2 linked regions of the Oryctolagus cuniculus genome follow. The protein of the gene in region 1 purifies or fractionates together with the protein of each later gene. This does not show direct contact. Links are inferred from orthologs where the notes say so. Each region holds a gene or a part of one and is shown in the gene's direction. Other genes may lie near its edges.

Region 1 (5,134 bases):
GTGGGACGCACACTGTGAACAGTGACCGGCTGCACACACCAGCCTCAAAAACCTTCTCTCCGGCTTTCTTTAGCTTGGTACAGCTCTGTTTGCAACAAGATCCTGAGAAAAGGTAATACCGGTCACTCCTAAGCAGCATAAACTGTGCATGTTTTATGTTTTACAGGAGCTTTGTGGTGTTTCCCTCCCCACAAAATGCAAATGTTTTATCCTTTGACCAAAAAAGTCAAGTCTAAAACAGAAAATAATGATGCTAAGAACAAGTAGAGGGGGCTAGTGCTGTGGCACAGTAAAGCCACTGCCTGCAACGCCAGCTTCCCAAATGGGTGCCAGGTCGTGTCCTGGCTGCTCCACTTCCGATCCTCAAGTTCCTGGGTCCCTGCACCCCCATGGGAAACCTGGATGCAACTACTGGTTCCTGGCTGCAGCCTGGCCTATTGCTGGCTGTGTGGCCATCTGGGGAGTGAACAAGCAAATTGAAGATCTCTCTCTCTCTCTCTGTAACTCTGACTTTCAATAAAATAAATCTTTTTTAAAAAAATAAAAGGAACAAGTAGAGGTAGTAAGCAAATGAAAGAACACTGGATTGAAAATCAGAAGAGTTGGGGCTGGCATTGTGACATAGAGGGTAAGGCCGCCGCCTGCAGTGCCGGTATCCCATATGGGTGCTGGTTCGAGTCCTGGCTGCTCCACTTCTGATCCAGCTCTCTGCTATGGCCTGGGAAAGCAGCAGAAGATGGCCCAAGTGCTTGGGCCCCTACACCCATGTGGGAGACCTGGAGGAAGCTCCAGGCTCCCAGCTTCGGGTTGGCTCAGCTCCAGCCGTTGTGGCTATTTGGGGAGTAATTCAGTGGTTGGGAAGACCTTCCTCTCTCTCTCTCTCTGCCTCTGCCTCTGCCTCTCTGTAACTCTCTGCCTTTCAAATAATAAGTAAATAAATCTTTAAAAAAAAAAAATCAGAAGAGTTGGTCACCAGTTTCAGCCTTACCATTTCCTAGCCTAGTCTCACCTTGTAAAAATCAGCTAGTCTTTCTGAATATTAATTATTGTACTTGCATTAATCCATTTTAGAAATGTATTAGCAGTATAAAATGTAAGTAGCTGCTTCCATACTAATATAAATTATTACCATAGATAACTATATATTAGCATTAGTATTTTGGAAACAAGGTGTGTGTCTTTTTTAAGATTTATTTATTTATTTGAAAGTCAGAGTTACACAGAGAGAAGGAAAGGCAGAGAGAGAGAGTCTTGCATCCACTGGTTCACTCCCCAATTGGCCACAACGGCCAGAGCTGCACCGATCCAAAGCCAGGAGCCAGGAGCCTCCTCCAGGTCTCCTACGTGGGTGCAGGATCCCAAGGACTTGGGCCGTCTTCTACTGCTTTCCCAGGCCATAGCAGAGATCAGGATTGGAAGTGGAACAGCCAGGACTTGAACCAGTGCCCATATGGGATGCCAACACTGCAGGCAGCGGCCTTACTCACTATGCCAGAGCACCGGCCCCAAGGTGTATCTTAATTACCATTTTTAACCCCAAAGTGCCAGGCATAATTTCTTATAAATAGTATGTGTTCAATAAATATTCAGTATGGATTAACTGAAGGACACCTCTAGAACTAATTCTTTCCATTTGTCAAAGTTGGAGCCAAGATTTGAGCTTCTGACATAATTTCTTTTTCAGTATTTTAGTGTTGGACTTTATAGTTCCTAACTTAACTTCTACTATTATACATTCCAATTTGAGGGTCTAGTTTTTGTAATTTTTTTTTCTTCTAAATTTCAGGCCATCAGCAAGCAGTTTATTGTCTCACGTATTCTTCAAACAGGTGAGCTGATCTGTCCTCTGTTGTCTAGGTGTTTTCAAATACTATTAAAAAATCCATTCCATGTTGTTGGTTTAATGGGATACTTTGGTTACCAAGAATCATGCTATTAACTTACAAAAATAATGTTAAAAAGCAGAAAAGTTTTTGGTAGTTTAATTACAGACTTTTTGAAAGATAGCCGTCCTGTAAAACAAAATTGAGTGAAACAAACCGGACCATAATCCCTGCCACTACATGCTCAGCCTTGGTTTTGATTAGTGACTCCTTCTATATTGGCTACACATGACGAAGGGCAAACTATATCTGATAAAAATCCATTTATTTGGCTTCTCTTCCTGTTTTCAGGTAACCAGAATCAAAGGCATTTTTAGGAAAAATGCTTAAAAACTATATAAATACTTTAAACATAATTTCTTTAGAAGTTACTTATTGCTAACGAAACTGATGTATTAAATTTGTACCAAGAGCCTTATTTTGAATTTCTTTAACAGATGAAAGAAGAAAGCCAGGACTCCATCCTGTCACTGCTGCCTCCTGCCTCTGCCAAGCCGTCAGCAGCACCGCCTCCAGTGTCACCTTGGACTGAGCCAGAGTGTGCTTTCCCTGATGAAAAAGACTCGGACTGGGAGTTCTAGGGCTGCCAAATCACTTCACGTCCGATATACTTGACACCCTCTTCTTGCTGCTTTTATTCTGCATTGCTAGGTACAAATGCCAGAATTATACTTGAAAACACAGTTGGTGCACTGGAGAATCTCATTTCAAACCACTCTGTTCACAGGGGCGTGAGTGTGGAGTTCCCTGGCCTAGCTCAGACTGCTCTCACCACCCCAGGGAAACATCTGGATGATCAATCTAGCTACAGTCAGTGTCATCGATTCTTACATTTTCTCCCCAAGCTGTGACTAACTCATCTTTTCATCTCTCTCTCGTTTTTGAGCCAGTTGAGTTTTTTGGCATTTTGCTCTTCTCTTGGGATTGAGCCCTCCTAGGACAGGACTTCCAAGTACATCTGATCTTTCTTTCAGGTTCTCTAGCCTTTTGAACCAGCTATTGTTAACCAACAGGCTAGTTTATCCTGGTACCAAATGCCTCTTTGGTAGACAGGGAAATGTTTATAGTTTCCCTTTTTTCTATTAATACTTATATGACATCAAACTGAGCCTCACTCAAAATAAATGATTCACTTGAACTATATACAGAAGTCATAATTTGCTTTTTTTAAATAAAGAAGGTGGCTACATAAGGTAACCCTTTTCTACCTTGTAAATTTTAGATCCTAAATTCATGCACCCTGTGGGAGCTCAATAAAGATTGTTGACTTGAGTTTGTGCTTCTATTTATTTTCCTAATGTGATCTGGCAAAGATCAAACACAGGTTCTCTGTTTGTTTTGCCAGGAAGCCCTTCCTCCAGCAGACTTCTAACTTGTTAGCTGAGGACTACTGGGGACTTGATCCAGTGAAGGCCTGCCTGTTCTGATCCTTTATATGATCATTGCTCTTGGGGGGTTACAACACAGAGGGTGCGGGTCTTCATGATATTTCCTTGTTAGCCAAAGAGAGAGGCCGTGTCTCAAAAAGGGCATGTGGGTGAACTGTGCTACACTGGAACCTATGTCAACTGACTTTCTTAACTGTACGGTCTTTCTCACATTATAGTAAAGGTTATTTTAAAATGGTGTCTTTAAACCAAAAGGGCAGTCTACAAGTTAATGGGCAATTGAAGGCACAGTCCTTTTCATGTTCATGGGCTGGACCTCCTCAAGAATGAAGGTTTGGGTTACTCTGCCAGGGCAGCCACGAAGACCTGCCAGGGTGAAAGGCGAAGGTGAATTTGGAATGGATAGTGACGGAGAAGGGGAGGGGACCGGTTGAGGCCCTCGGAGCAGCTGCAGTGGTCAAGCCTGGAACGAAGCTCCGCCTTGCAGCACGATTTCCCCTCCGCAAGACGAGCCCACCTCGGAAGCCATGAAACAGGGCCTCTCACATCTCTGGCTGGGGCTTTATTAAGTCCAATGTGTGCACAAACATTTCCTGTAAGCAGCTGGTCCTAAGGTCTGGGGGAGACCCAGGAGGGCTGCTGGTGCGGTTAGAGTCCAAAGGGCATCAGGCCCAAGATCTAAGAGTTGATTTGTTAATTTGTGTCCAAAGGCAGGGAAAAGTTCAAACCGAGTCAGGAGGGGAAATTCTGACTTGAGGGCGGGTGAGCCTTTTTGTTCTGGTCAAGTCTTCGACTGAGTGGATGGACTCTCCCCACACTAGGAGGCAATCTGCTTTACTCCGTCCACCCCTTGAAAGTTTTGCAGAAGCTCCTTCACACAGAAACACCCAGAACAGTGGTCAACCGAATAGCTGAGTGCCCTGAAGCCCAGCAGAGTGGATGCATAAAATCACCCGTGCCAGTGGGCACTGTGACGGACTGCGAGCCTGAGCCTGTGAGCGCTGCCTTAGACTTTGTGCCATAGCGCCTCCCCTGCTGTATTAGCTTTGCACGGCTGGTGTAACACTGCCACAAACTTCAGTGGCTGAACGCAACACCAAATTGTCGGTTCATGGTTCTGTAGTCCGGAAGTCTGAAATGGGTCTCACAAGGGTAAGATCAAGGTGCTGGCAGGGCTGCGTTCCTCTGGGGGCTCTGAGGACAATCCATGGCCCTGCCCTTCCCAGGATTCCAAGGCTATGCACCTCCTCAGCCCATGGTGCTCCAGTCCAGCACTGTTGGGCTGTGTCCTCATATTGCCATCTCCCTGGTTCTATCTTCCTGTTCCCTCTTTACTTTTTATGAGCCCTTTTTGATCCTATTGGGCATAGCCAAATACTCCAGGATACCCTCCTTGTCTGCAGTCATTTAACAGCCTTAATTCCCCTTAGCTATGTAACTGAGCATACCAGCAGGTTCTGGGAATTAGGATGTAGGCATCTTTGGGGGGCATTGTTCTGCCTACCATCCCTGCCTCTGTCCTCCCTAGCCCTGGCAGAAGGGATGGCAAGTCAAGCTTGTTCCTGGGAGACAGCAGCTCTCGGGACGAATGGCTTTCACTGGCATTCTCCCCATGGACCCTGATGAAATGAGAGTGACAATAGTTCCTAATCCACCTTCCTTCCCACAGTGCTCAGACCCACAGCATGGTTGGCAGCTCTCCCAGCCTCTCCAAATCTCTCCCCATTTGTTCTCTTAGGCTTGCCCTTTGCCCCCATCAAAAAAACAAAAATCTTTTGCAGGTGGTATTAGCCTCCTAATGTGACAAATTACAGCGAACAATGGCTTAAACCAATGCAAGCGTATCCTTACAGTTCTGGATTT
Region 2 (6,190 bases), about 30 Mb from region 1:
GAAAACCTGCGTTTTCCGTCAGGAACTTGAAATAGGTGTATTTTGTGTTGCCCGTTGAAGGCAGAGCCGATTATTTGGAGCATCAGTTTGATGACCATTTGAGAAGCTCCAGCTTGCTAGCACGTTGGGCAGCCTCCTGTCCTCCACGTGGAAGTGGTATACAGCAGCTCTGGGCGAAAGATATAAGCAAATCCATTTACAACAAACAAAGAGCTGTGGGCCAGTGAGGACCGTTTATAAAAACAGCAGGGCGAGGTCTGGCACACGGACCCCAGCTTGTCACTCCCTGCTGTGTATCACAGATGGATGGCAGATGAGGACCCGTCCTGACACATCAGCACAGATACTTTTCACGGGGACAGGTGACAAAGCAGCGTCCCCCAGGACCTGCCACCTGCACGAAAAGTCACAGCTCTGCAATCTTGGAACATCTCCAACTCATCCTCGCCCAGACACACATGTATACACACACATGTATACACACACACACTGACACATGCCAACACACATGTATACACACACTGACACACGTCCACACACATGCATATACACTGACACATGCCAACACACATGTATACAGACACACACACACACACATTGAGGGGGAAGCTTCATGAAGGTCATGGAAATGCACATTATCTTGTGTGTGTGTGTGTGTATGTGTGTGTGAGTGAGTGAGTGTGTGAGGCAGGGAGAAGGCTCCCATCTGCTGATTCACCTTCCCAATGCCCTCAGTGATGCTCTCCAGACTCAGATTGAGTTTGGGGTTCCTGGCTGTGGCCTGGCCCAACCCCAGCTGTTGCAGGCATTTGGGGAATGAGCTAGCAAATCGATGATCTCTGTGTGCCTCTGCCTTTTAAATAAATTTAAAAAGAAAAAGAGCTGATGTGAAGTCTGGGGTGACAACACTGGATCTGCACTAGGACCTAGCTGGTGCCAAGAGAAGATGGTCCAAGGGCCCTTTCCACAGGTGACCATCGGGCATCACCTGGGGCTCCCTGAGCGTGAGAGGACAGGGGAGCTGGGGCAGCCGCTGGCCTATATGGTGTTAAATGTTTGTATTTGAATTTTATAATGTTAGCTGCCAGTCTTTAATAACACTGATAAATGTTTTCTTGTCTTAGTTTTTCAGTGAATATGAGAAATTACTCCATTCAGAAAATTATGTGACAAAGAGACAGTCACTCAAGGTACGAGAGATTATTTTGTGCAGTTTATTTCTCTTCACACATGTTTGGCATTTGGCCTTGTGGAAAGGGAATGGGCTGGCATGGGCTGGAACACACGTGTCTCTGGCCAGGGTCTCCACAGAAAGCAGTGGGCTCAGCAGCACTGCATGTGCCCAGCCCCTTGTATGCAGAGACCCCACAGGCAGTGGGCATAGACTTGAGGCTGGGATTCACATGAACTAAATAAGCATTCAGCGCGGCTGTGGCTCGTGGACAGCTCTGGCTGCTGCGTGTCAAATCCGAGATGGACAGGTCCTTCAGGAACTTAAAAATGTCACAATTAGGATGTAAACTCTAGAACAGATTGACAAACAACAGGCCGTGGCCCAAGTGCAGCCAGTGCCCATGTTTGTAAATAAAGTCATGCAGGAACGCAGACATAGCCGTTGATTTCTCTGTTGTCCACGGCTGCTCCAGGTGTGACAGCATATTTGAATGGCTTGCGAAGGCTAAAGTATTTACTCACCGGCCCTTTACAGTTTGCTGACCCCTGCTCCAGAAAATTCTTAGGCTAGTTAATGAAAGCCTGCGCCCCATTCTGTCAGTGCGTGGGCCCAACAGGAACTGCCATGGGAATCATGAAGGGTTCACGGGGGCGCATGCTTGTGTGTGCCACCGGCCAGGTTCGTCATACCTTCTGCTCTGCTCAGATCTTCCCCTCCGAGGTCTGGAGTTCATGTCGATGAGGGCCCTATGCCTGCCTTCCCCATCCCACCCTGAGGAGAAGGCCCCCGAGGACTGTCTTCCCTGGAAAGACAGTGAAGGGCATCAGGAGCCTTCGACAGCAATGCTGTCTGCTGACCCTGCGGTCGCTGCGCAAGTCGCCCGCTCAGCGCCTGCCAGGACTGCTCTCGCCCAGGCCATCTCAGTCAGTGCTGAGGGTCCTGATCTCAGCCTGGGCCCCAGCCCCAGGGCTTCCGACTTGACCATGACTCTGATGGTGCGTGAGGACCCTCCCACCTCAGTGTTCTGCAGAACTCTGGGAGCTGCTGGAGGCACTTCCTCCCTGCACATCCATGCGACAGGAGGACACCTCAGTGTCCTTGCTCCTCTGACTCGGCCCCAAAGGGCCAGGGCATAGTGCTCTTCCCCAGCGTTCTGAGACAGCAGCCAGACAGGACTGCCAGGACAGCAGCACCTCCTTGTGGTGTGCGAGAGCAGAGGGTGGCCATGTTTCACAAATCGATAAACTGTGACCAAATTGCAGCTCGTTGGTTAAGGAGAAAGGCTTTCAGAATTACCAGCATGAAAAGGAGGTGGCCACTCCACCTGTGCACCCTGGGCGTAGACACAAAGCAGGTCGTCTTTTGTCAGTAGCTGGTTCCCTGCCTGAGACTTTCAGTTCTTCAATTTTGTGTCTAAAGAAATTGAAGAACTACCAGTCCTTCAGGGACCTGGGGCTCAGTGAAGTGAGCCGTTGGCAGGCCTCCTCTGATAACACGATGTCAGGCTGCTTAGCTAGAAGTCAGCCACCTGGGGACTTCAGATGGGTAGAAGGCAGCCAGGAGCAGCGGAGCCACGGCACAGCAGCTGTGCGTGGGCGCTTCTCCCGCAGACCCCCGCCTCTTCCTCTCAGGCCTGCCGTGCCCCTTGTACATGCGCACACTTTGGTCACCCACGGCGCTGTCTTGAGATGCAGGCACCTTTTATCCACTCCCAGTGCACAGATGAGAAACTGAGGCACGGGAAAGTTAAACAACATGCTCAGGGCTACAGCGCTGACAAGGAGTAGGGAGCCAGATCCGAGGCCAGGCCAGCTTTGCCCAGGGCCCCCATCCCCAGGCGCCGCACAACGCCTGCTCCTCCCACCGGCCTCGCAGCCTGTGGCTCTCACAGCCACTGCAGTTCGCCAGTCCTCCGAGTCCCTGCTCATATATGCTTACTAAAGGTGTTACAAGATGTTTGTTTCTTTAAATCCTAATGTAAGGATGATTGTTTAAATGTCTTCGCAGCTTCTCGGTGAACTACTGTTAGATAGACACAACTTCACAATTATGACGAAATACATCAGTAAACCTGAGAACCTCAAGTTAATGATGAACCTTCTGCGAGACAAAAGTCGCAACATCCAGTTTGAGGCCTTTCACGTTTTTAAGGTAGAGTACGAAGACGAAGCCTTCATCCAGAGCTGCTCAGTGCGCTTCAAACAGATTGCGGGGTGTTGCCCTCACTCTGGTCGTCTGAGTGATGGAGTTCCGTGTCGTCAGTGTTCATGTTCGTGTGGTGTATGTAACATTTAAGCAGAAAGATCTAGAAATGTGGGATACTGAATTTGAGTGCAAGAAAGTTTATCTTCCACATTAGAGGATTGCTTATCACAAAGTGAACCATTTCTTCTTTTTTAATTTTTTTAAGTTTTTATTTACTTGAAAGGCATAGTTAAAAGGGGAGGGGGAAAGAGAGACAGAGATTCCATCCACTGATTCATTCCCTAAGTGGCTGCAGCATGCGGGGCTGGGCCAAGCCAAAGCCAGGAGCCAGGAGCTGCATCCAGGTCTCCTACCTGGGTGGCAGGGCCTTGCCGTTGCTCTCCCAGCTACATTAACAGGAAGCCGGATTAGAAGTGGGACAGCCAGGACTCGGACCAGCAGCCACATGGACCTGCACTGTGGGCAGCAGCTTAACCCACCGTGTCACAATGCTGGCCCCAAAGCAAAACCACTTCTTAGTGGTTTTGTAGACGCTAGTTTTCTTCCTTCCTTCTCCCCTTCCGTAAGATAGAGAAGGTTCCTGTTGCTGGCTCACCCCCCAGATGCCTGCGACAGCAGGGCTAGGCCAGGACCCCAAGCCAGGACTTCCAGGTAGGCGGCAGGAACCCATTACTCGAGCCATCATTGGTCTGCATTAGCAGAAAAGCTGGAGTCAGCCAGAGCCAGGAGTTAGATGCAGGCACCTTAACAACTTGGCCAAATGCCTGCGCCCTGGGGTTTTTATCCCCTCCCCTACCCCTCTGTTGTTTTTTTTTTTTTTTCTTTGAAGCTTTTTATTTATTTGAAAGGCAGAGGGACATACAGATCTCCCATCCACTGGTTCATTCCCCATATGACCGCAGCAGCCAGGGTTGGGCCCAGCCCCACTAAAGCCAAGTCAGGAATTCAGTCCTGGTCTCCACCATGGGTCACAAGAGGCCAACTCCCTAAGCCGTTCCCTGCTGCCTCCTGGGGTGCACTTCAGCAGGAAGCTGGAATCGAGAGCAGAGCCAGCACTCATCCCCAAGCACTGTGAGATGGGATGCCAGTACACCGGCCGGCGTCTTAACCACTGCACCCCACACACGTCCACCCCTTGGATCTTGGTCTTAAAATCTGGGGTCTGTACTGTGGCACAGGGGGTTAAGCCCCTGTCTGCAATGCTAGCATCCTGTATTGGAGCACCAGTTCAGGTCCCAGCTGTTCCACTTCCCATCCAGCTGCCTGCTAAGGCACCTGGGAAAACAGCAGGGGATAGCCTGAGTACTTGGCCCCTGCCACTCACACGGAGACCTGGATGGAAGTCTGGGCTCCTGGCTTCATTCTGCCCTGCCCCAGCCATTGAGGCCATCTGGGGAGTGAACCAGCAGGTGGAAGATCAAGCCCTCTCTCGCTCAGCCTTTCAAGTAAAAGAAAAGAAGCATCCAGTTAGCCCTCCCGTGCCCAGGAATTATTTCTGCTCATTTTATTCTGCAGTGCACATCTGTAGTCAGCACCAACCACTGTTTCAGGCTAGCGGGATGAGCTAGTCCACTCTTCCTGTGCTAAAACATTGAACGTTTTTTCTCCAAGTTGTAAAATCAGAGCTTCTGAAGCAAAGTCTAATTCCCTGATGTCCCGCCTGCCCCGGGAGGGCACCGCTCTGTGCTGTGAGTGACGCGGCCTCTCCCTGTGCAGGTGTTTGTCGCCAACCCGAACAAGACGCAGCCCATCCTGGACATCCTGCTCAAGAACCAGACCAAGCTCATCGAGTTCCTCAGCAGGTTCCAGAACGACAGGACGGAGGACGAGCAGTTCAACGACGAGAAGACCTACTTGGTCAAACAGATCAGGGATCTGAAGAGACCGGCCCAGCAAGAAGCCTGATTTCCAGTAACCCTCAATGTTAAATGCAAGTTCAGCACCTGCTGTTAGCTGTTCAGCGTCAGGCACTCTTCCCGATCCATGAGGAACATTACTGCTAATCTGCTGTTAAGTGAACGGTTTTCGTTTGACCTTTCTGTTCTTAGTCCAGGTTGGAGCGCGTAGCTGCTGCTGCTTGCACACTAGAGCACACGTGGGCTTTTCCTTGATCTTTGTGTCATTTCAGAGCTCAAAGACTCCACTGCTGTGGGAGTGCTGGACACAGCTGGCTTCCTGGAGGCCAGCACGCAGCCGAGGGTGGCTAGGGGGGCGGGCGCCGACCCCGTCCACCTAGACCTGTGTGTAGGCATTGCCCTGTGGAAGACAGCGTGCGGCATGGCGCGCGCACCTGACCCTCACGGCAGCTCCTGGGCCTTCGCCGAAGGAAGTCAGGGGAGCCCTGTCCCAGGCGGGAGGCTCTGGGGAGGATGAAGGTGGTGTGCGAATAAATTGATACACTTAGCAACTTCTCACAGTGTGAAGCTTCCTGGGGTCACGAGGGAAGTGTACATATGCTTTTCACGGCTTTCTAGGGTTTCTGACATTGGTTTTCTTGAGACTTGTAAACCTGGATATGTTGAGGGTATTTGTTGATTTTACTTTTTGCAGGTATTTTAAAACAGTAGAGCTAGCAACAACACCTTGCATTTCATTTCAACACTGCTCACAGGTTTCTTTTGTATATAATTCTTAGAATGCTCATTTCTTTTAAATGGTTTAATTTGTACAGCAGAGGAATGTTATTGTAGTAGTATGTAACTATTACCTAATACTGAGTTTTTGCAAAAAAATGAATGCTCATATGTAATTGAAATACTTCAGATCACATGAAAATGCTGATTTAACATTTAAATATCACAGCATTAAAAG

The links. The genes of interacting proteins can lie anywhere in the genome.
Region 2: the proteins of STRADB (region 1) and CAB39 purify together in Homo sapiens (affinity purification with mass spectrometry; 3 studies listed by BioGRID and IntAct, counting the BioPlex papers as one, with this or other methods). This does not show direct contact. The link is inferred for Oryctolagus cuniculus from reciprocal best matches to the Homo sapiens genes STRADB and CAB39.

The regions. Positions count from the first base shown.
Region 1 is NC_091434.1:38,531,812-38,536,945, reverse strand, and holds the end of STRADB (STE20-related kinase adapter protein beta), read left to right. Parts: coding exon 1-112; intron 113-1,786; coding exon 1,787-1,829; intron 1,830-2,320; coding exon 2,321-2,464; 3' UTR 2,465-3,155; downstream 3,156-5,134. UniProt on the Homo sapiens protein: Pseudokinase which, in complex with CAB39/MO25 (CAB39/MO25alpha or CAB39L/MO25beta), binds to and activates STK11/LKB1.
Region 2 is NC_091434.1:8,330,430-8,336,619, reverse strand, and holds part of CAB39 (calcium-binding protein 39), read left to right. Parts: intron 1-1,124; coding exon 1,125-1,190; intron 1,191-3,181; coding exon 3,182-3,325; intron 3,326-5,095; coding exon 5,096-5,284; 3' UTR 5,285-6,190. UniProt on the Homo sapiens protein: Component of a complex that binds and activates STK11/LKB1. In the complex, required to stabilize the interaction between CAB39/MO25 (CAB39/MO25alpha or CAB39L/MO25beta) and STK11/LKB1.